Linked DNA regions of Neurospora crassa OR74A. The protein of the gene in region 3 purifies or fractionates together with the protein of the main gene of each other region. This does not show direct contact. Links are inferred from orthologs where the notes say so. Each region holds a gene or a part of one and is shown on either strand. Other genes may lie near its edges.

Region 1 (7,765 bases), on a different chromosome or scaffold from region 3:
TTGCGACCACCTCCCGCGCTCTCGCCGGTGAGACTGGTGCTCCCCCAAAGACCGGCGGCCCAGGGTGAGTTTTTGTTCCGCCGCGTTCCTCGCACGCGCACGTGGATACGCGGCGACTCCAACTAGTTCAAACCCGCTGACATCATACCCTCCCATTCCAGTGACGCTTTCCAGCGCCGCGAGAAGGCCAACGAGGATTTCGCTATCCGCCAGCGCGAGAAGGAGAAGCTCCTCGAGCTCAAGAAGAAGCTCGCCGAGCAGCAGAAGCACCTCAAGACTCTTTCTGATCACATGTAAGAACGACCCATCAGCCAGCCAACAGCCACCACCGGCGCATAGTCGCCACAAACACACCAGGCCGGGCGCGCATCATATGGGCCGTAGTCAGCTACGCACACCATCATCAGAGGAAGCCGGGCCTCGATTCTCCTTCACAAATAAAAGAAAGTTCTAAAAACAAGGCAGTTACTAACATTCGAGAAACAGTGACGAGATCACCAGGGAGCAGGGCGGCGAGCGCAACTAAACGAACAACAAGCAACAATAACAACCCATAAACATATTTTTTTTTCTTCTTCCTCTGCTTATTATCATTCCCTCTCGCGACGTCCCATCGCTACACACGCCACTACGCCTACGCAGTATGAATGCAATGAAATGAGAAGGGGCCAAGGATTTGGGGGGGTTAAGAAAGGATGGGACTTGGGCTACGGGGACGGACGGCGCGCCGAGGATGAGTGTCATCTTACACATATCTCAAACTTACCCCTTGTAGCAATATAGCGAGCAAAGCCATGATCGATGATCACAAAATCACGACCGGGGGACCTATGGACCTCACAAGTTGCATCAATGGGACGAACAAGTGTCTAAAGCAAAACCGTGACAGAACCGAGCTTATGAGAAAGTCCAAAACGAGTCGAACAGTTCCTGTGCTGCAGTAGGGGCGATATTGGGTTCATCGGCTTGCCCTTGAACCAGAATCTCATAATGCGGCTGAAGAGTAATGAAGTTATCAGGAAAGCAAGCCAGCCTACGTAGTTCCGTAACTAATTTTTTTTTTCAAAACCTAGTTACTTTGATCCAGACTCAAGACTCTTCATTATCTTAATGCCACTTACATGGAACATGAAAAAGAAAGCAGACGGGACGGTACTTTACTGAAGTATTAACAACTTCAAGTCCGTCTTATAAGAAATTTCACTGATACCCACCGACGTTCTGAGTCACAACAATGATGCTCTACGTCTCGGTTTTCAAAATGAAACTCCTGGCAGTCGGTACCTATATGTACAGTTCGGCAGTCCGATATGTATGATATTCACTCGACATCATATGAAGACAATATATCGAAAAAAACAGACACATGAACTCCCTTCCAGATGTAATGAACCCCTTTTTGGACTGTGGCCATTACCTTGAACCCATCTTGTTTATTGATTTTTGCTTCCACAACCTAGAATAAGTGGCCTAGCCCAGCCTAGCATAGCATAGCCTTTTTTCTTGTCTCCTAACCCATCCCAAAGCCAGACAGACAGACAGATCTCAGCTACGTAAATTAACATCATCGATCCCCCCCCATCCACAGCCACGATACATATACAAGACGTTTCAAATCATACCATGATGGTCTTTCACAGACTAACAAAACAAACCAACAAACCAACAAACCAACAAACTAGGGTAGGTAGGGTACTCAAAACTGAACACACACACACACACACAGACAAGTTCGCCGCCATCCGATTCTTCAGCCTCTTTCTCTTTCTCTTTCACTCATACTTCACTTTACTTTAGCTTCCTACAATACAGCATCATCAAAGCCCATTTATTTCCCTTCCCTTCCCTTCCCTTTCCCTTCACCTGTTCACACCACCGGCCCTGTACGAGCGGTAAAAGCTCTGAGCGGCATCCGACTCGTTGACGCCTTGGTGGGCACCCATGCCGCTGGTAGCCTTTTGGGCAGCGGCCACCTTGGCTTGGAGGTCGGCGGCGTTTTGGTCGATCCACTGAAGCTGGTGAAGGTGACCGTTGAGGACACGGACGATTTGGCTGAGCTGTTGTGTTTTGTTTATCGTGTGCGTTAGTGATTGGATAAAATAAGGGAAAAATGGAGAAAAAGGAGAGAAAAAGGAGGAGAAAAAAAAGGGAGAGAGAAAAACATACCGGATCATCAGGCTTGCTCCCCTTGCTCAACGTGCCCGTCATATCATTTATCTCCTTGATCATCTTGGCCAAATCCTTGCCCATCTCATCCAGCCTATCCGTCAGCTTCTCGGCAAGCTTATACGTCCTCTCGCGCTCCTGATCGGGGCCCAAGCCGTCGCCAACACCGCCAGCAGCCTTTGACTCGCCGCCGGATCCAAGCTGCTGCTTCTTGAACAACTCCTCCAGCTGTGCCTCGTACTGGTCCAGCCACGCGGTCAGCTCGTCCTGCTGCGACTCGACGCCCGAGAGCTGGCGCTCGATCTCGTTGCTGGCCTTTTCGGCCTCGTACGTGCTGGTGTACAGCTTCTGGATCTTCTCGCCGTTTTCGACCAGGAGGCGGTCCCATTCGGCCACCTTGGCGGCTTGCGACTTGAATTCCTTCTGGTACTTGGAGAGATCGGTGGCCCAGCGGGTGATGATTTCATCCATGGTCTTGTTCTTCAACCGCGGGAGAGTAGAAGTGGGGCCGGTGGTCGTGGAGGCGAGGTTGCCGGTGGTGCTGGTGGTGCCGGCGGCAGTAGTGGTGTTGTTGGTGGTGGTTTTGGAGGTGGTGGTGTCCGCAGGCTTGGCTCCTCCTCCAAAGAGACTGCTGGTGGTTCCAGCAGTGGCGGTGGTGCTCCCACCGGCAGTGGTGGTGGCCGCTGTGGTAGTGGCGGGCTTGGTGGTGGCCGCACCGAAGAGGCCGCTAGTTGTGGTCGAAGACGAAGGAGCAGGCGCCGTGGTTGTGGTCGTCGAAGGCGTAGTCGATCCAAACAAGCCTCCTGATGCTGGGGCAGTAGAGGTAGTGGTAGCATCCTTGTTGGCGCCGAACAGACTGCCGGAAGCAGCAGTGGTGGTAGAGGTGGCAGGAGCTGAGGTAGCAGGAGTGGCGCCGAACAGACCACCCGTAGCTGGCTTTGCGGCTTCGGCCGGCTTGCTTGTGTTGGCACCAAAGAGGCCGGAAGTTGCTGGTGCTGTGGTGGTCGTGGTCGATGTCGTAGCCGGGGTTGTCGAGGCTCCGCCAAACAGGCTGCCACCGCTGGTCGCAGGCTTCGCGCCAAAGAGAGTAGATCCGGAAGTGGCTGTCGTCGCGGGAGTTGTGCTGGACGCAGGCTCGGCTGGCTTGGCGCCAAAGAGACCAGAAGTGGTGCCAGAGGTGGTGGTCTCGGCTGGCTTCGCTCCGAACAGAGATGGTGTTGTTCCCGAGGTGGGGGCAGGGGTTGTGGTCGGGGTACTCGAGGCTCCTCCTCCTCCAAAGAGGTTGCCAGAGGCAGGCTGGGTAGCACCAAAGAGAGAGGGCGCGGCCTTGGAAGCGTCAGCAGCAGGTGGTGCACCGGCTGGGGTAGTCGATCCTAGTCCAAACGAGGTCTTAGCCGGCGTCGTCTGAGAGTTGGCGCCAGCTCCGAAGAGACCACCGGTAGCCGGAGTAGTAGAAGCATTGTTTCCAAACAGACCTCCCGAAGGAGCTCCTGTTGCGGGTGTGGTGCTGGCCCCGCCACCAAACAAGTTCGAGCCACCAGCGGCGGGGGTTGTCGATGTGTTGGCAGTGGTGTTTCCAAACAAGCCTGCGCCAGGCGTCGTGCTGCCTCCTCCGGCAGTGTTGGAAGCAGAGCCGAAAAGCGAAGGTGTAGTCGAGGTGGTATTGGCTCCGAATAGTCCTCCAGGTTTCGAGGCATCTGTAGGCTTAGCGCCAAACAAGCTACCGGCTGGCTGTGTCGAGCTCGCTGCTGGGGTGCCGAAGGAGGAGGCTCCGAAGAGACCACCGGATGTAGCAGTTGTTGCTGGTTGGCCCGAGGCCGCGCTGGAGCTTGGTGTACCGAAGAATGACATGATTGCGATTATGTGAGGCTGACGATATGATGTCGAGGTTTCGGGGTTGGTTGGTTGGATGGATGGATGAGGCGTTGGTGGTTGGGTAGTCGTCGTCAACCAAAATCTAGAAAGTCAACAACAGCGTCCCACTTCCCAAGGCTGTTGCGGTTACCTCAACAACAACAGGGAGCGCGCGGAAACCCAAGCAACGATTCGTTGAAATGCGAAGAGGAAGATCGGCGCGATCTCGGTTTTGAGTAAGTGATGCAATGGTCCAGCCGTGGTTATCGGATCGCGAGTTTTGGACGTCGGTTCGGAATCCGTTTGGTGGAGTGGACGTGGACGTCGTTTGGGCGTGGATTGGAGAAAGCAAAGAAAGTGTGGCAGCGTCACTCAGTCTCTCGGTCTCTGTTTGTCAAGGTTCCGTCCGTCGCGACAGGCCTTTCCACTTTTTTGGAGGTGCTGCAGCGCGCCTGGGCTTTTCCCCTTCTGGGGACCCGGACGCGCACTCAACAAGGCCAAGCATTTCCCGCTTATTGGAGCACTCCAGTCACCACTGCAACGAGTCAGCCCCAGGTGAAGTGGTCAGCCTCACCTCACCTACCCCGTCTAACATTTTACTAGCAAGTGCCAAGCGTGCACGGCCAATCAATATGTGGCTTGACGGCAGTTCGACAACTGACGGAGAACTTGAGCAATGACGGGGCGGGCCTCATAAACTGAAGCGAAGTGCTGACTTTCCACTTGCCGTGATGCTCTTCTGCATTCTGACTGGACCGTCTGGTTGCAGCACATTACGCAGCGAGTTACCATACAGTTTCCGGACACGGCGGTACCTTAGTACCATACCGTACCGTACCGTACCGCACCGTCCCAGGGTAGCCGAGCAAGAAGCAGGAGCCCCGTTCAGTCGTCTCGGAAAGCTTGGGGTGGTGGTTACCCCATGTTCTAGATTAGGCCATCGTGAGCCCATCCTCTAGACTAACTCTAGGCCATCCGGAAGCTGTTCCTTTCTCTCGTCTCTCTCCACACACATTGCTGTCCATCGTCTGGACATTGGGATGCCACAAGTCAGCCGCAACGTCTGTGTGCATACCCAATCTTGATTCAGTTCACTTTGACCTCAGGCCATCTGCTGCGTGCAATTGACCTATCTCCTGCAGAGTATAAGAGTCGGCTTACTCCCGTCTTGTTATAGGACACTCCAGTCCTGTCCCTCACAGCAGTAAACATACTGTAGCACCCCACACCAACTACATCACTCCTCAGTCCTCACCTTGGCCCCCCGATCCCCGATCCCGATCCTCCCATATCCATATCCATATCCATATACATATACATACACCTATCTTGCTTCCTACCTACCATATACATTTCTGCGCTTCCTTCAGCACTCACCATAGTCGGAAATCCTCTTGTTCTTTGATCGTATAGACCGCCGCGACTACGCTTCGAGATCACAATGGCTTCGCGCAGGAACAGTCTGTCGCCTCCCGAGAGGCAGGGGACCATGGACCCGGGCGCTCATGAGCTACCTGGTAGGTTACAGCTGATGGGGAACTTGGGAGACCTCTGGACAAAGTCGGCACATGGATATCCAACTAACCATTCATTCTACGCGACAACAGGCTCCGACACCGAAGATCACTACTCCGATGCCATCTCTTCTCCCAAAGCTCCCTCCTCGCCCATCCCGCGAACAAGAGTCGAGAGAGTAGACGACAAGCCGGCGTATGGAGAGGTCCCGGGGACCAAGGCGTATTCTATGAGGGAAGGGGACGCGAAGCCGGATGAATTTGCCATTATCCCAGACCCAGACACCAAGCTCTCGACCGAGGAGCATGACCAGCGCCGGCCGTCCACTCCAGGCGGGCGCCCCATTCCCATGACCGTAGTGGAGGAGACGCCAGATAGCACTGGTGCCGTCACCCACCATGAGATCGAAGCGAGGCACAGGGTTGACAGTCCTCCCGACGTGCTTGTCAAGGCGGATGGGCAAAAGGTCGAGCATGAGAAGGGTGGTGACAATGGTACGGATGCGTAGCACTTCTTTCTAGCCACACACACACGCGCGCGCACACACACACACTTTCACAAGCACATGCCTGTTTGTTTGTTTTTTTTTGAGCCAGCAAATTATACAAGATCTCCTTTGTATTGACTTTACGTTTTCCTGCGTAGATACACCAATACCACCTGCATTAAAGAGTCCCGCCTCGATCCATTCTAGAGACTCGTCATCTGATCTAGACCAGCCATCCCCTGACTCGCCCTCATTGGGGCCCAGTCTTCTAGAAAAGGAGGAGGCAAAAGATGACGCGCACGACAATGTCGTACGAGACAACGCCAAGACCGCCGACGACGAAGACGCCGATGAAGATGAATCCAAGAAGGAGGAGGAGAATGTAGAGGTCAAGACTGAGCAGGCTCAAGATGGAGAGGTGGAGGACGAGAAGCACGAGGAGGAACAGTCAAAAGACCGCGACACCGAAGAAGCATTGAAAGGAGACGAGTTCGAGGATGCCAGCGAAGAGCTTGAGACGCAAGATACAAAGGAAGAAGACACAGAGGACCACTTCGACGAGGCAGAACCCAGTCAAGAGAACGAGAAGAAGGTCGAGCCAGAAGAGGACAAGAAGGACGATGTCAGCTTTGACCAGAAAGAGGAGAAGCCTGTTGAAAAAGATGGGTTCGACAACGACGACGACGACGGATTTGCTGAAGCAGGGGATAAAGCCCCCGACGATGACGGGTTTGGTGATGACGACTTTGGGGACGACTTTGCTGAGCCAGCTCCGGCTGGCGCCGATGACTTTGGGGATGACTTTGACGACTTTGAGGAGGGAGCCGAGGCCAACAACGATGCTGACTTTGGCGACTTTGACGATGCCGGCTTTGACGACGATGACTTCCAAGAAGCCGAAGGGTTCTCAGCTCCAGCACCTGCTCCTCAGCCGCAACCACAACAACCGCAGTCCTCATTATCCTTCGTAAGTCCCCAACCCAGTTACTCCCTCTACGTCCAACACACACTAACATATCCCCTAGCAAATACCCGACTTCACCCACCTTTCCGCGTCCGAGATCCTCTCCCTCACTTCCCCTTACCTCAACGCTCTCTTCCCTCCCTCCCCCGACACCGACGGCGACGACTCCTCCTCCTCCCCCATCCCCACCCTCAATGTCTCCAACGGCATCACCGACCCCATCTTCCAACACCCCCGCTCCGCCTCCCTCTGGTCACAGCTCGTCGCCCCTCCCCCACTCCAACCCCCCGACTGGATCCGCTCCCGCATCCGTCGTCTCTTCCTCGTCTCCCTCGGCGTCCCCGTCGACCTAGACGAGATCCTCCCCGCTTCCAAACAAAAGAAACTCGTCTTGCCTTCGTTAGGCGACCCCGACGCAGCAGACGACGAACGCACAGGTCGTTCGCGACGCGCTAGCTCTGCCGCCGCTGCCTTCCGCAACAACCAAAACAGCCAAAACCTTACCACTACTTCGACTTCGAATTCAAGCCGCAACCCATCCAAGCAACCACCCGTCAACAAAACCGTCGCCGCCGCCGCAGGATCAAACACAGAAGGAAGCGCCAACCGCTCTTCCAGTTCCGCTAGGAAGGGACCACCGCCCGAACCGGTATTCGACCTAGTGGCTGCCAAGCAGCTGTGCGAGACGACGGATGAGGCGCTTTCGGGGATGACGGACAAGGAACTCAAAGAGCATGTTCAAAAATTGGAGGCGATGCAAGGGGTGGCGTCCGAGGTGT
Region 2 (8,065 bases), on a different chromosome or scaffold from region 3:
TGCGCGCAAATTTCTGAGTTGCCAGGGGAATGTGATAAGTAAACAACTCCATGTTTTCTCTCTGTTTTTGTGGAATCTGAGAATGGTGGCCAAGTGCTAAGGCGCTTCTGTTTCTACGCTGCCCAACTGCATCTTGGCCGATGCCTTCTCTTGTCCGTATACTTTCTAACTATCGCTATTTGAATTAGGATAAAGGAAGTCTCTGAGATTGTTCTCATCCACCTACCCAGCAGCAAACCTACACTACAACAAGCAAGACTGAGGTACAAAATCCCCACATGTATCTACTTGGTCACGTCTCTCGCAGTCACGCACACGCACACTTGTCACACACGTTTTTATATGTGCCGCATGTTGTGGGCGAGAATGCAATGCGAGACGAGGAATGGCGTCCTGGCGTACGGAAAGGATCAATAGAAACTCAACTTTCGCCGACCATTGGAATGCAGTGATGGGTTCTGGCTGGAGAAAACTACCTTACCTCACACTTACTCAACACAAGGCTTCAATTGAAGGATGACAAGTCGCAACTCCCGCGATTATATAAGTATTCACATCCGCTTGGTCGTCTTTCATCTAATCGATCACATACCTTTAGCCAGCATATGAAATGTCGATCACTCCCACTGATGATAGATAACCGATCACCTAACCGATCGCCGAAAAGCGAAAAGCGTAGAAAAAGCCAATCCTCAACGGAAAATTTATTCCTGGCTCTCACTCAGGTTCAAGTGTCGAACATGATTGTTTCCCCATCGTAAGTCGTAACAACCAAGATCAATACAAGTAAGCGCCCATACTACCCCTCATCCGATAAAACTCTTGCCGGCGCCCATTGGACGAGGCCAAACAGGTGATGATGACTGCTCATCGTACCAGGACCACTCAGCATTTTTCTCCCAAAGCCGCCCTATGAAAGATCGACAGATGCAGGTACCGATCCACTGCCGGGGTGGCAGTGGCCGCAGTGGAGCAGCGATTCAAGAAACGTCGCATGATGGGGAAACCAACAATCAGATGCTCACCACCAAACCCCAATCGCCAAGAATGGCGCGCGGCTTCGAGATCTTATTAGCTGTGTGATCTCGTACTTTATCACAACCGTGGTTACCAATTTCACGGTGGTTAAGCTACTGGGCCTGACCAGCATGAACGTTGTGTACCAATTACGCTCGAGCATCTTCCGTAAGCGTCCTCACCCAAATAGGAGAAAATATTAATAAAAGAGATTATAATTAGATGAAAAAAAACCGTGAATGTGGGAGACTCTTTGGTCAAAGCCCAAAAGAGCTCCAGGTATCTCAATTGTTAACGCACGCTAAGTTTCCGCAATATCAAGTCGAGTGACCGCCTTATAAGAATTCCGCTAACCGACCCATTCCGTTGCTCCCTTGAGATAGTATGGCAATGCAAGTATTGTACAAAGTTCATCCTTGACCCTTAAACCCTTTCCTCTTTCCCAGTCTTCGTTCCTTGGCTTTCAGTAGTTTTTGTCTTCCTTTTCCTTTGTCTCCAACTCATCCAGGCAGAGGGTATTTACCCAACTAGCGCTGATCCACCATGAACTAACAAACCATGCTGACGCTGGTGACCTGCGCTGTCCCCTAGACAGCGTTGATAAAGGCCGTGGGCGGCAAGTTCGCCCTCTGCTCCTCGAATGACTTGAGTGCCAGCTCAAAGTTCCAGTTGGCAGTGCCACTGAGACACAACTCTGAGTATTCTGCTGTCATGCCAGTCCGCTTCATCACCTCCTGAATCAGCTGGTTCTTCGTGGCATCATCCAACATGACAGGTTCTGCTGGAGGCACAGCGTTGGTAACCGGAACCTGCGGGACCTGGTTGGCGACAGGGGCCTGACCAGCAGGTGTCTCCGCGGGTGTCCAGTCATGAAGGGTGAGTTGATCGCTAATAACCCGGTATGGGTGCACCGGCGGCGGGTTGCTCGGCTTGCTGGGTCCAAGAATGAACGTGCGCGTGAAGGTGCGCTTTCCGTAGAGGTTTTCTGTAGTATCGGACTCTTCAAACTGGCCATTGACGGTGATGAGCAATCCCGTAGCGAAGCCGTGGCCGGTGGGGTCCGCGAGGTTGGGGAAGGTGTGGCAGTCGATGAGCCAGGCACCAGGGTTCTCCATGCTTGGATGGCGAGTACTGGGGAGAGCCTTCCACATGTCCGCAATGAGATTTCCTCCGGTGAAGAGACGTTGTACCGTTGCTGGATTCTTCTCTCCCAATTTGTGAACGTTGCGGGAGTATTTGAGGTAAGTTTTCCAAGGAAGATTACGACCAGAATTGGCAATGGCTTGAATCGAAAACCACGAGTCGTCGTCGTAGAACTCAGCGGCGAGGCGAGCTCTGTCGCTGTCGAACATGGGGAAGAAAACTTGGACAAAGATGCTCGCCACATTGGCCTCCCCGTCCCGTAGGTTGGAGGGGAACTGCGGTAGTGGCGTGGGGTGCATGCCCTTGAGGGCCTCAGTAACCTCTTGTGGGCTGCGAACAATTTGTCCGTTGATGTTCTGTAGCGATGGGAACCATTTGATGAGTTCTGCCACGAAGTCGGGCTGGGTGGTGATGGGGTTGCCTGTGAGATGAAGCTCTTCGAGGTACTGAAAGCGGTGCTGCCACTTGGAGATCTTGGACAGACTGTCGAGGTTGTTGCTGCTCAGGTCAAGTCTCTTGATATCTGGAAGTGACGTAGCAAGCGTGAAAACCTGCATGACGTCGTTAAGGCCGTTGCTAGCAAGGGAAATGGCCTGTATCCCTTCACGCTTTTCGGCAGCGGTCTTGTACTGCTGACTAGCAATAACTACCAAGACCTTGAAGGCCTTTTCGGCCCGATCCTTGGAATCAAACGTGCCCATGCTGCTGAGGATGGGATCGGTTCCAAGAGAAGATAAGTCAAGCAGCTTCAACTCTGGATTGTAGCGCGCAGCTAGCACTGCTGTCAATTTTTGTTTGGTCTCCTCAGCAGCCTTGGAAATCTTGTCTTCGGGGCGAGGCATCCTCTCGGTGGTTTCCGTAATCGTCAGGGGTGCACCGGCATAGGTGAAGCCATTGAGCCTCAAGATCTCCGGGGCGTCATCTTTTCTGACCGTGATCCACACATAATCGCCGTCCATTATACTCTATCGATGGGTTAGAAGGTGTCGGTTATCGCAGTTGCAGAATATTGCGCGCTTGGGGATGTCGGTGGATGGGAAAGTATACCTTGCCGATTGTAACTGCTTTGTCTTTGGAAGCCTTTCGTTCCAGAAAGGTGAGAAGTGACCGAAGCCCTCCATCGCGATTGCCGGTAGCTTTGCTATTGCTCATACCGTGAATCTTCAGTGTGGCCATATTGGACTGTGTTTTGCCGACGGGACCTCCGCTGACGTAGTTCTGTAGGTTCTGCACGACCCGGGATGCTGTCCGGGAGTTCACCGCACCTCTTCCACCTCGAGCATCTTTGGAGCCACGTCCTCGACCACCGGAAGCCAACCCACCCCTACCAGAGCCACCAGCCGGAGCATCCATTGACACATCTCCATCTCGGTCCGTCCTCGGGTTTGCGCGACGCTTCTGGATTCCGCCACCGCCGCCTGTTGCTCGGGGTCCACGAGGAGGAGCCCTTCCAGTTCCGGCGCGAGGACCAGTAGGAGGTGCCATGGTTGTTCGTTGAATTCTGAAGAGAAAACGTTCGGTGTGAGTTGCGGGTGATTTTTTTTTCTCGCCGAGTTGTTGATGAAAGGACAGTGAGTCGTGGAGTTGCGAGTTGTCCTTGTTCGCCGACTTCTTCGCTGCCCCGATGGTCAAAGTTCCGGTCGTGGTCGGGGGAACTGGGGAAGGGTACTAAGATGCAGAGTCGAGGCTTACCTTTGGTGTCGCCGTTAGGCGGGAGAGCGGCCTGCTCAAGAAAAACAGGCGGCCGATGCCGACCGGGGATTGATCACCGCTGGGTGGATTTGGGACGCTGTATTTGAGAGTGGCCCAGATAGGTGTCAAAGGACACTTCGCTTAGAGTCTAGGTGCGCTTCTCTAAAGGGATTTGTCGAGGTAAAGAAAGATGTAAAAGATGCTTGGAGGTGGGGCGACAAAGACGACGCGGAGATCCAAAGGTACGGAAGTAGAAGTAGAAGGCCGCCGCTTCGCTCGTGATCGTTGGTTGAATATGCGTACGGAAGCTGCTAGCTCTGAAGCAACGGGCGAGTACGAGGATGCGCAAGAGTCATCAGCCGGTCAGTACTGAAGAGTTTGTTGGGCTGCCGATGCCAACTGACGACGCGAGAAGGTCGAGAAATGAGGAAGGTTTCGATGACGGATTGGAGAATGGAAGAAAGAAGGTTCAGCCTGCCGGACCTCCAAAAAGGAAATACCTTAGCGGCGGCAGTGGAGGAGCATGCAACTTGAACTCAAGGCAATGAGCCAAGCTCCGACCAGTGCGCCAGGCTCCAGCGGACCACAGAGACAAGCGATCGGATTTTGACGCAAACCTGCCCCACCCAAGATGCAACAGCCCCACTCTGACGCTGTTCTGCTGCGAACTCCCCAGGCGGCAGCACCCAGACTGCCCACACCAATTCACGTGCTATGGCGATGGAACGTGTCAAGGGAATAGCCCGTCCATTAAAACAGCGACGCGTCTCATATCAGGCCGGGCTTGTGTGACGATAGGGTCGGTTCACCTATGCAAACGGACTGTTATGAATGTCAATTGTTTCACTTCCAAGAATTTCATCCGACAAGCCTTAAGTTTCATCACCAGAACAAGAAGTTTAAAAAAAAAAGGCAAGAAAACAAAGTCCGGTTGTATTAACTGCCCAAGCATCGGCGCATCGAATCTCGAATCGTCAAGGTTCTTTCTTTTCTACAACCTCACAACTCTCAAGTCATGGATGACGATGACTTTGACGATATTCCTGATGAGGATTTGATGTTGGCCTTCACCCAGGCCACCGGCAACATCACATCACATCACCCCAGCAACAGCAAGCAGCTTGCCTCGTCGGCAAAACCACCAGCACAAGCGTGGCCAATATCCGATTCTGCAAGACGAATCGTTACTCCAACCGTATCGCAGGGTCAGGCTACAGCTACAGGGCGTGCCAAAACAGCAAGCAAGCCGACCACGTCAGCGACAACGTCTCGCCCGTCCCTAGCTCAGTCCAGCCAGCGTAAGAATCTGCGTCAGACGACACTATGGGGTGGCACGCTGGAGGAGGATGCGCAACCCGCCCCGCAAGCGGTGTCGAATCGACCATTCCGTGCCGATATGCCCCCAGAGCAGCCCACTCACCATGAGATTGACATAGAAGAAATGAAAACATGGGTTTATCCGATGAATCTGGGACCTATTCGAGACTACCAGTTCAGCATTGTCAAAAATGGCCTCTTCAACAACACATTGGTCGCCCTCCCCACGGGTTTGGGAAAGACATTTATTGCTGCGACAATCATGCTAAACTACATCCGCTGGACAAAAACCGCAAAGGCTGTCTTTGTTGCTCCTACGAAACCCCTTGCTTCACAACAAGTTCAAGCATGTCTCAGCATAGCGGGCATCCCGCGATCTCAGGCGACTCTCCTAACCGGAGAGACTCCTCCTGTTCTACGTGAGGACGAATGGGCAACAAAGCGCCTGTTCTTCATGACACCCCAAACACTAATGAATGACCTTTCCAAGGGCTATGCCGATCCCAAGTCCATCGTACTGCTGGTTATTGACGAGGCGCATCGTGCGACTGGAGACTATGCATACGTCAAGGTGGTCGAATTTTTAAGGCGTTTCTCCAAGAGCTTTCGAATTCTTGCTCTGACTGCTACACCAGGATCGTCTCTCGAAGGTGTTCAGGACGTCATTGATAATCTGGGCATTTCTCACGTCGAGATCAGAACCGAAGAGTCAATCGACATTCGTCAATATGTGCACTCAAGAGACATCAACACGATAACATTCGACCCCTCTGACGAAATGATGGAAGTCAGAGACTTGTTCTCCAAGGCCCTGAAGCCCCTTGTGACCAAGCTGAGTTCACAAAATATATACTACGGCAGGGACCCCATGAGCCTGACTACCTACGGCCTGATGAAAGCCAGGAATGACTGGATGGCAGGTCCGGGTAGGCACGTAAACCAAGGAACCAAATTCAGTGTCATAGCCACATTTGCGATTCTCCAGAGTTTGGCGCATTCCATCAAACTACTCAACTTCCATGGAATCAAACCGTTCTACAATAATCTGGCCGAATTCCGCACCACCGAGGAGGAGAAAGGAGGAAAAGGGTCAAAGCTCAAGCGGCAAGTCTTGGAGGATGAGAACTTTCAGAAGATGATGGACATGATTGAGGGTTGGATGAAGATTGATGGGTTCCTCGGACACCCCAAGCTGGAATATCTTTGTGAGACCCTGGTCAACCACTTCATGGATGCTGGCGAGGGCTCCAATACCAGAGCCATTGTATTCAGTGAATACCGAGACAGTGCCGAAGAGATTGTGCGCATTCTCAACAAGCAACCCCTTATCAAGGCCACAGTCTTCGTTGGACAAGCGGACTCGAAGAGGAGTGAGGGCATGAAACAGAAACAACAAATTGAGACGATCGAGAAGTTCAAGAACGGCGCTCACAACGTTCTGGTCGCAACATCCATTGGCGAGGAGGGTCTTGATATTGGCCAAGTGGATCTCATTGTCTGCTACGATGCATCAGCGTCACCGATCCGAATGCTTCAGCGTATGGGTCGTACCGGCCGCAAGAGAGCGGGTAACATTGTACTTTTGTTGATGAAAGGGAAAGAGGAAGACAAATTCAACGAGGCGAAGGACAACTACGCGACCATGCAGAGAATGATATGCGAGGGCAGCCGCTTTACCTTTCGTCACGACCTTTCTTCACGTATTGTGCCACGAGACATACGACCTGAGGTGGAAAAGAAGGTTGTGGAGATTCCACTTGAGAACTCCCAAAATCCAGAGCTCCCAGAACCAAAAAGATCTGCCGCAAGAATGAGGACAAAGCCGGCAAAGAAGAAGTTCAACATGCCTGACGGTGTTGAAACAGGGTTCATCAAGGCTTCTTTCTTTGGTCAAGCTGGAGCTAAGACAGCCAAACCACCCGCTAGGCCACCTGCGCCTAAGGAAACTGACTTTATTGCCGAACGGCCCAAACTCGAAAGCATTTTGCTGAGCACGTCGCAGGAAAACGAGCTCCGCAGAAACTATACAAAGATACCCCTCGGACACTCGAAGGTTGAAGAGTTGGATATAGACTGGTATCGCCATCCAACATCCAGACGAGTGGTCCAGAAAACCATCCATGTCAAACACGGGGAATATACCAAGCGATGTGTGAAACTGTTTAGGAGCCTGGCAAAGTCTCAAGCTCCTGCGAATAGGTATACTAAGCCATACGGTGAAACAGACACGTCCTCCTGGGAATTGATACCATTGCCGCCCCTTGCGGACGAAACAGAAGGAGAAACGTCACGAAAGGGGCAAAAGAAGAGGCCGCGCCTCGAGAGTGGGCAGGAAGCAGAGGAAGCAGAGCAATATGCCGCACCTAAGAAACGTCAAGCGACAGCAAAAACCAAATCTACCGGGGTCTCCAAACAGACCAACAAGCCTCGAGCACGACATACCGCACTTATCAGCGACTGTGAAGAGGGTGGCAACGAATATGATGGCAATGTCGACGATGACGAACAAAGTAGGCCCCGAAACTTCCGCAGCAAGGGTCGTGGACGTGGCAGCGGGCGGGGAAAAAAATCTCAACCTAAACAAGGAGACCCCAACGTGGACTACGGTGACGACTGCACCCGCACCAGCGACATGGAAATGGGTACCGATGGCTCTGATGACGGTGCCGACCTCGAGGACTTTATCGTCAGCGATGGCGAAGTCACCTCGAGTTTACAGCATCGTCCCCGAGGGTCCACCTCGCCGACAACAGCTCCTGACGCAGGGTCGTCTTCCTTGTCCTCGAAAACGGGACGCAAGCAGCAAGCACCAGATTCCTTCGCGTCGGATGAAGATGATGGCGATGTGTTTGGACCCAAATTTGTACCGGTAACCGCGTCGGCAGCTAAAGGCTCG
Region 3 (7,989 bases):
CCTTAATCTCTCAAGCAAATCGTCCTGGATGTGGGCAATTTCCAGAAGCTCAGTCACTTCGTGGTTGAGAAGCTGCTGCTGCTGGCGACTCACACCGACAGTGGTGACGCTGGCGTTGGCCTTTGCTCTGCTCAACAAGGTAATGCGTTCCTTGATGCCAAGGGGGAAGTCTGACTTGGCGAGCTCAGCCTGCACTTGAGCAGCCTCGAAGAAGCGGCTGCGTTGTGTGTAGAACCGGCAAAGAAGATCGGCGTGCTGAGCATCAACCGCAGCGAGTCTCTGCAGGTACGTTACGACATGAGGAGAGTCGATGGCCAACATGCGGTCGGTCCAACCCTTCTCAATGTACCAGTCGTACAAATCAAGGTGGAAGACCTCGTCGTCTGAGCTATTGACGACGCTGTATGCCTCCGCCCGCTTGGTGGCAGCAAGAGTTGGCCTACCGTCAACAACATCGGGCTCTGAGGCCGACTCAATCTCTAGCCGGTCAAGGACCTCATGTATCAAGGAATAGCAACTTTGCCGGTCCTTGAAAGCCTTTTCACGGGGATCGTTAGCCGGCTTGCCTTCGTTGAACCAAGCAAGGGCCGCGTTTCCACGGTCCTTCTCTCGCGCAACTATCAAGCACAGCTGGATAGCACCAGCGTAATACTTCAAATTGATGTACTGTTCGACCGCGTTGCGCAGGTTGGTCATGGTCAGGCTTCCCGCGACCTGGGAAAACAATCGCAAGCTCTCCGCAAGCAAGGTGCGCATCAGGTTAGGATTGCCCGATGACTCGCTGGCCCGCTGCAGTTGTTCTTGAGCCTTGAAAATGACAACGTCATCAGGGGAGCAGAAAGTGCCGCATCTTCTCCTGAGTGCATCGGCAACGGTCTCGACATTGGCTCCGTTGGCAATGTTGCGGTTAACAATAGCCTTCACCAGAACCTTGGCGAGCTCCTTTCCAGAGTCCTGAGAGAACAAAGCTTCATAGGTAAGGTTTTGCAGCTGTTGCTTGGACGAATCATCTAGGCGCATGAAGATGTCGGTTACCCGCTCATCGAACAGCATCAAGACGAAAGAGATGCCCTCAGACACGCTGTCCATAAGCTGACGCAGAGCGTGGAGAGACTGGTGCTCCAGCTGCAAAGCGATCTCCTCTTGTCTGCTAGAAACCCGATCGGAGGGTCCGGCCAGGCCCTGGATGAGACTTTTGTTTTCCTCAAGGAATCTCCTTAGTCGTTGCACACTTTCCTGTACCGTCATGAGCTTGGAGATGGGAATCGCCGAGCCAACAGTGAACCCGCCCGAAGCGCTATCCGTGGCTATCTCAATGACCTTGGACTTCCATAGGGTGCGGGCGAGGCGCGCAAGATAGAGCACCAGCGCATCGTGGCGAGCCGAGAGCTGTACGTTGTCCTCCGGTGCCTGCAAAACATCTGCGTCCGCAAGCTTGGGCTGACCACCGTAGTTGATGAAGATGGACCGCGCCCTGTCCTCAGTAAGAGGATCCACAGCACGACGGGCGTCTCCTCCTTGACCACATGCTACCGCCAAGGCAGCCGCGACCATTTCGACCCTGCCGTAGATGGCCGTAAACGTTTTCACCTTGCTGTCCAAATCCTCATCGCCAGATGCGACACGAATCGCATTAGCGAAGATGTCAACAAACCTCCTGCGGCGAACGATATGGATACCGGTGTTGGTGAGCACAGCGAATTCGCTTGGGGTATGATCGAACTGAACAGCTAGCTCGTTGCCAAATCCGAGCGGTTGTTTTGCAGCCGCAAAAGGGTTGCCAGTAAGACCGATGGAAAGAACTCGGCTTCCGTCACCCAAGGGGATGAAAGTACCTTGCTCAACATATCTGAGTACAGCGCTCTGCTTAAGTCTGCCGACATCGGGGGCTGATACAAAGAGCAGATCCGTGCGACTCTCTTTGGGTCGAACCGCGTCGAAGAAATAACCCGGAGGAAAACGTTCACCAAGGCAACTTTCCGAAAGTAAGCCAGACATTTGATCTTGAGCTGCTGCAGGTGCAGGTGCATATGCAACTGCAGTGTTGATCTCGTTGCGGAGGGGAACCTGCTGGTCTTCGCTCGTAGGAGGAAACTTGATGTATTGGACCTGCATGCTCTGAGGAGCAAGGCTGGTTGAGGCGCTCAGCATGTAGGATGCCGCGCTCGTCGCAGTAAGGAACAAACGGCATCCGGTGTTGGTGAGTGCCATGAGGTGAGACTTTGAGGCTTCTTGTGCCGAGATGGCGCTAAGAGAGACGATTCTCACTCTCTCGTTAAGCAAAGGGTTTCTGTTCAAGTCAACCATATGCGTCATGTCACTAAGGCACGAGACCTTGTTCTTTTCGATGACTTTTGTCAGTTTCCCAGAGGGCTCCATGAAGTATGTTCGAATGGTGGACTTGTCCGAGAGCGAGTATAGGAGTTTCCGAGTATCATCGACAACCAGCTGAACAAGGTGTTCCTGATCACGGTGGCCCAAGAAGCCCATTGGCACTGGGAGGTTAGGAACAACTGATGTCCAGCCAGGGTGTGTGTGGTTGACCTTGGCACATCTGCTAGAGAACCAGCGCTCCTCCTGCTGGTAAAGGAGCTCGTAGATGTCGGTATCGGTATAACCGCCAAAGAAGATACGGCCGTTCGAGGTACCGATGATTAAGCTGACATCGGTGCTTCCGCGATGTACTGCCATTTTTGTTTGGTAGAGGGCGACGGTCTTCGATCCCGAAGGGGTAGGTGTCGCGGATACGCCCAGCAAAACTATCTCGGTGCCCGTAGCAACGACTAGAATATGGGTGATGTTACTAACGAACACGCCAGGTTTGGGGGGCACTAGGGCAACCGCGGTGATGGTGGTGGTGGCATCCTCGTAGCCGATAAGTTCGGGGTTTGGGTGGGTATAGTCCCAGAGAAAGAGGGAGCTGTCAATAGCAGCCCACGCGTAGTTGATGTCGGCAAATAGGCCGAGTTGCGTGTTGACCTCTCCCCTGTTTAACCGCTCAAAGACTTGATCGGGGATGGGATACATATGAGTCTTCTTGAACGGGGCGCCGGGCGCGTCATCAGTCCTGTACATGTCATAGTCCGAGGAGGAGCCAGCTATTTGGGAGAGACATGGTTAGCCAGTCCTACCAGGTACCATGAGGGATGGAAACCTAAACAGGTAAGCTCACCTCTAGCATAAGAATCAACATCGGGGTAGTTCTCGTCACGTAGTAGGGTATTGGTGATGCGCCGCGCGGCCTTGGCAACCGGTGGTAGATCTGTGCGAGCTTGAGCTGGCACCATTGGAACAGGCACCTGCGAGACGGGACGAGGAGCAGCAACAGTTCCAGCACCGGCGCCGCCAACAGAGCCCGAAACGGGCCCAGTCACGGGTCCGGAAGCAACTCCGGCACCACCAGCATTATAGGACCCGAACCCTCCTAGCACCGGCCTCGCAGTGTTCTTTTCAGGAAGCGAGTCCAAGTAGCGTCGAGCATCATCGGTCCTGGGCGCAGCGGGCGTGTTGAGGAATGCACCGGGCACTTGGCGCATAGGTGTGGCTGGATTCATGATGGCGGATATGTGATGCTAACACCCGACAGGACGATGGTGGGATGGCAGCGGGATGGTTGTCGGTGCCACCTGCAAAAGCGGTTCAGAGTTCGTCGCGAGCGTCGAGGGGAGGGGAAGCTCCAGAACGAGGCGGATGGAGGCTGATGGAAATCTGGCGTCGGCACAAGTTGGAGCTCCAAGGGTGCAGCGTGATCTGGCAGCTTCGTGATTCTCCGCGCTTTGCTGTGATGCTGTGTTGTCGCTCTTGCTTCGTTTGCCCTCTTGCTTCAGGTCTCCCAAGTTGGTTGGTTGGTTGGTTGGTTGCTTGAGGTCACAAAGTCGAGAGCGCGGTGCTCGCTGCAGTCGGTGGGTGTACTGCTACAATTGCACCACCATCAAAGAAGGTCTGGGAATCCAGGGGAAGCTATAAAGTCCAACACGATGCGACGTGGTCGAGGAGCAGCGACCACAGCTTGAGGTGAAAGCGGTTGAGTTGTTGTTGTGGTGTTGAGAGCAAGGAAGCTCTGCGCGCGATTGGGCAATCACTGTCGAAGGTGGACTGTGGATGAACAGCAGAAGATTGAAGAGGCTGGCCCGCTCCGGCGGCGGGCTACCGTAAACAATTTTTGGCTGGAGAACTGGGACAGCGGTACGTACCTCTACCGCGACCGGGCAGGAATCATTGGTGCCCAGGGCGGTCGTTTCGCGGCTGGCAACTGGGACCTGCGACCTGAAACGCGAATTTTGGACGCGCCTGTGTGCCGGAGCAGTTGGACGGCGGGGACCACAGAAGAGGCGCTAACCTCTTTTTGGAAGCATGTTTTTCTACCGCCTATAGAATGTCGAAACCGTCCAATCATCGTCGAGAACGTCATCGAATGCCCGTCACTAGAAGTCGGATTTGCAACTCAGAATATCAACTATAGACAGACAGCAACTGCTCTTGATCTGTACCAAAAATACATTGTGCAAAAATATGGTTGCTTCATGATCATCGTTCAATTATCATCTTTTAGCTTTCTGTACATTCCACTCACATTATGAACTCGTCTGCTAACAACGGGCCGAAGTTTCTCATTTTCTCTACAATAGATACAGGGTCCGAAGGGTGGATGTAACGCAGGCCAATGGGATGTGTCTTTTGGCTAGAGCCATCATGCCACAAGTCCATGCTCCTTCCCAGCTTCACGTGAGAAACATGGTAGCTAGAAGCTGCGATATGCGCTTACTGCTTCTTGGCTTCACGAGCGGCCTTGCGGAGAGCGCGGTTGCGGATGTCGATGTGCATGTTCTTGTTCAGCCTGAGGGTAAAGTAGCTGTAGGCACCGACAGTGTTCTCAACAACCCACTTGAACACAGCATGGCTCCACCAGGGGGTGTAGGTGTTAGGAAAGGGCTCGGAGCTGTTGAGGCCAACCTTGCCGAGAGCAGCGCGGACGAACTGCTTGGGGTTGGGGATGAGGAGGCTGGTGCGGCGGATCTTGCTCATGGCAGTGGTAACGAGGTAGCTGACAACAAGGTGGACATCGACGCCCTGGTCCTTGAGCTCGGCAGAGAGAGCGCTGCTCCAGTGCTGGAGGAACGCCTTGCTGCCGCTGTAGGTGGCAAGGTAGGGGGTGGGCATAACACCGGCGAAAGAGCCCATGGTAAGGATAAGACCCTTCTTGCGCTGGGCGAGGATGGGAGCGACAACCTTGGTGGTCTTGAGTGTGCCGAGGCAGTTGATGGTGACAATGTTCTGGAGCTCGTCGCGGTCGGTCTGGAGGAAAGGAACGGGGATGCTGTGGGACTGGCCAACGTTGTTGATCAAGATACCAATGTCGAGGCCCTTGATGAGCTCGGCGAGACGCTCGTAGTCGGAATCGTCGTCCTTGGAGAAGTCCATGGCGAAAGTCTTGGCCTTGAAACCATCCCATCTGAGCTCGAGCTCCCTAGCAAGGACGTCCAGCTTGGACTGAGTGCGAGAGACGAGAACGAGGTTGAAGCCCTTGGAGGCGAGCTGCTGGGCGAACTCCTTTCCGAGACCATCGGAGGCACCAGTGATAACAGCCCAGGTGCCCTTCTTGCCATACTTGCGGAGCTGTCAAGGTTGATGTTAGCCACATTCACCTGACAATCTTCAGTCCCAAGTAAGTTTGCGAAGAGACGTACGTTGGTGCCGCTCAGGATGAAAGCGTTAAGGAGCAGCTGGAGGAAAGCGCCGACGCGAGTAGCGACGTAAAGGGCGCCGATGCCAGCAAGGGCCCATTGGCCATATTGAGGGACAGTGCCCCAGATCTCGGCAACCTTATCCATTGCGTACGGACTGTCGGCGAAAGTCGTTGATGAAGGAACGCCTTTGGTTTGAATCGGGGAGTTGTGACACTTTCAAAGTTGGGTCCGGTCGCAAATAATTGTTGGGAACTTTTTGGAGGACCTGGGGTCGACTCGCCTACTATGTACACTTGCATGTGTCAGCCGCCAAGATTTTCGAGACGTCCCGCCCCGCGGCCCCGGCGAGAGGACCTGGGCAGCTGGGTTGTCCCCGCTTTTGCCGAACCATCACTCACTCGACGCCGCCATTGAACTCCGACGGAGCTGGCCATGGGCCAATGGATAGAGGAGAAGGGGGAGCCTGGCGGATTTTGTTTGTTGTCTCCAAAATGTCGTCCAATGCCCGTGGACCTGCGTCCATGATGCTACGATGACCCCTGTCTCTCGCGCTTGAGAGTGGCCCGAAGTGTGGTTTCCATCCGATCCTCGAGCCGCTGGAACAAATGGAGAGCTGCAACAGGAAGGGCAACTAACACCTCAACAACAAAAGGTCTTCTCAATACAAATATCCTGGACTTACGATAGCTTTCTTCCCTGACGACAAACCGCTTCATAACTGTTTGAACCAAATGGACGCTATCAAGGCTTTCCTGCCTTCGGGCGAGAAGGGTCTCCTTCCCTACTACCTCTTCTTTGTAAGTTGACGGTTGCTGGTCCCCCTGACTCTTCACATGGTTTCGCAATTAACACGCCCTTCGTCCAGGTCTCCATCGTAGCTATGGGAAACGCCCTCCAAAACTACACTACTCTCCACTACACGCGACGCCTTTACAACGGCCGTTTCGTCCCCAACCCTTCCCTGCCGCCCGCAAAGGGCAAATTCAGCCCGGAGGACAGCGTGGACGTGCTGAAGCCCGTCTCGCCCTCAGAGGCGGAGAAGAAGGAGGCGGCTGCCAAGGACCAAGTCACGCCGCTGGCGGCCCGCGTCTTCGGTACCTACACCTTTATGGCCGGCATCATCCGCTTCTATGCGAGCTACAACCTCGAGAACGAGTCGTTGTACAAGCTCGGTATCTGGACCCATGTCATCGCCGCCGTGCACTTTACGAGCGAGTTCTTCATCTACAAGACGCTGCGTTTCAGCGGACCTCAGATCTTCCCCTTCTTGGCGGCGTATGGCGGCACGTTGTGGATGGTGTTGCAGTATGGTTACTACGTCCAGTAAAAGACAGGTGCAGCTACCAGCTGGTCTTTGGGAATCAAAGCAGGAAGCAGTACATGGCCCCCAAAAAGGAATGGCGAGTGGACTCGGATCATGACCATAAGAAGCGCGATCGCGTATTAGGTGAAATAAGACTCCGACGATAGGCTTTGTGGAAGATGTACCACTTATTGATACCCTTTTCGGTCAAGAAGCGAAGCAAGCGCATCATACATTTCCACTACTGCAACGACTTGCGATAGAGCTCACCACCGCAGTCTCTGAGTCGCGCAGCCGCTTGCTCCGGAGTGATATCCCTCTGCGGCTCAGCCATTAACTCGTATCCGACCAAGAACTTGCGCACGGTAGCAGACCGAAGAAGTGGAGGGTAGAAATGCATATGGAACCAGCTCGTCTCAGCCTCTTCCTCTGTGCAATCCAACGGCGCCTGATGAATACCCGAGCCTTCTCATACCGTTAGCTCCTTTCTCCCTTTCTCTCTCCTTCGGGCAGTTGCAGAGGGTAGTAGAACTTACTATACGGAAAGTTTGTCTCGAACAAGTTATCATATCTTCTCGTAACCTCCTGCACCGCCTCGGCAAACTGCAGCCTCTCCTCGCTCGTAAGCTCCACCAGCGCGCGCACATGTCTCTTCGCAATGACGAGCACCTCAAACGGCCAGACAGCCCACCAAGGGCAGACGACCAAGAACCCGTCGTTCTGCCAAACCACACGCTCGCCCTTGGCCATCTCCACCTTGACGTAGTCCTCCAGCAGATGCCTCCCCTTGTGCTCACGGTGGTACTTGGTCATCTGCGCCAGCTCCTTGCCCGGCTCCTCGGGCAGCGTGCTCGTCGTCCAGATCTGGCAGTGCGGATGCGGGTTCGAGCAGCCCATGGCCGCGCCCTTGTTCTCAAAGATCTGCATGTACCGCAGCTGCTGCTTTTTCGCGGGCTCGACTTCGCCGTCCGGGTTAGGTGGAATCTCGCTGAGTGAACG

The links.
Region 1: the proteins of NCU04463 (region 3) and NCU02808 purify together in Saccharomyces cerevisiae (affinity purification with mass spectrometry, with the first as the bait; 3 studies listed by BioGRID). This does not show direct contact. The link is inferred for Neurospora crassa OR74A from reciprocal best matches to the Saccharomyces cerevisiae genes NUP170 and NSP1.
Region 2: the proteins of NCU04463 (region 3) and NCU09317 purify together in Saccharomyces cerevisiae (affinity purification with mass spectrometry; 3 studies listed by BioGRID). This does not show direct contact. The link is inferred for Neurospora crassa OR74A from reciprocal best matches to the Saccharomyces cerevisiae genes NUP170 and MEX67.

What each region holds. Positions count from the first base shown.
Region 1 is NC_026501.1:9,050,856-9,058,620, reverse strand, and holds NCU02808 (hypothetical protein), read right to left. Parts: upstream 4,625-7,765; 5' UTR 4,018-4,624; coding exon 2,167-4,017; intron 2,058-2,166; coding exon 1,860-2,057; 3' UTR 1,510-1,859; downstream 1-1,509. Other genes in the region: NCU02807 (uncharacterized protein), read left to right, coding at 1-64, 162-293, 487-526; NCU02809 (hypothetical protein), read left to right, coding at 5,462-5,537, 5,628-6,029, 6,181-6,989, 7,048-7,765.
Region 2 is NC_026501.1:4,262,388-4,270,452, reverse strand, and holds NCU09317 (hypothetical protein), read right to left. Parts: upstream 4,380-8,065; 5' UTR 3,853-4,379; intron 3,777-3,852; 5' UTR 3,646-3,776; coding exon 3,208-3,645; intron 3,126-3,207; coding exon 1,605-3,125; 3' UTR 1,220-1,604; downstream 1-1,219. Other genes in the region: NCU09318 (ATP-dependent DNA helicase mph-1), read left to right, coding at 4,868-8,065. UniProt on the Saccharomyces cerevisiae protein: Involved in the export of mRNA from the nucleus to the cytoplasm.
Region 3 is NC_026504.1:3,274,512-3,282,500, forward strand, and holds the start of NCU04463 (non-repetitive nucleoporin), read right to left. Parts: upstream 4,130-7,989; 5' UTR 3,555-4,129; coding exon 3,173-3,554; intron 3,099-3,172; coding exon 1-3,098. Other genes in the region: NCU04462 (3-ketoacyl-CoA reductase), read right to left, coding at 4,762-5,616, 5,688-5,831; NCU04461 (transmembrane domain-containing protein), read left to right, coding at 6,419-6,484, 6,553-7,014; NCU04460 (galactose-1-phosphate uridylyltransferase), read right to left, coding at 7,232-7,455, 7,527-7,989. UniProt on the Saccharomyces cerevisiae protein: Functions as a component of the nuclear pore complex (NPC).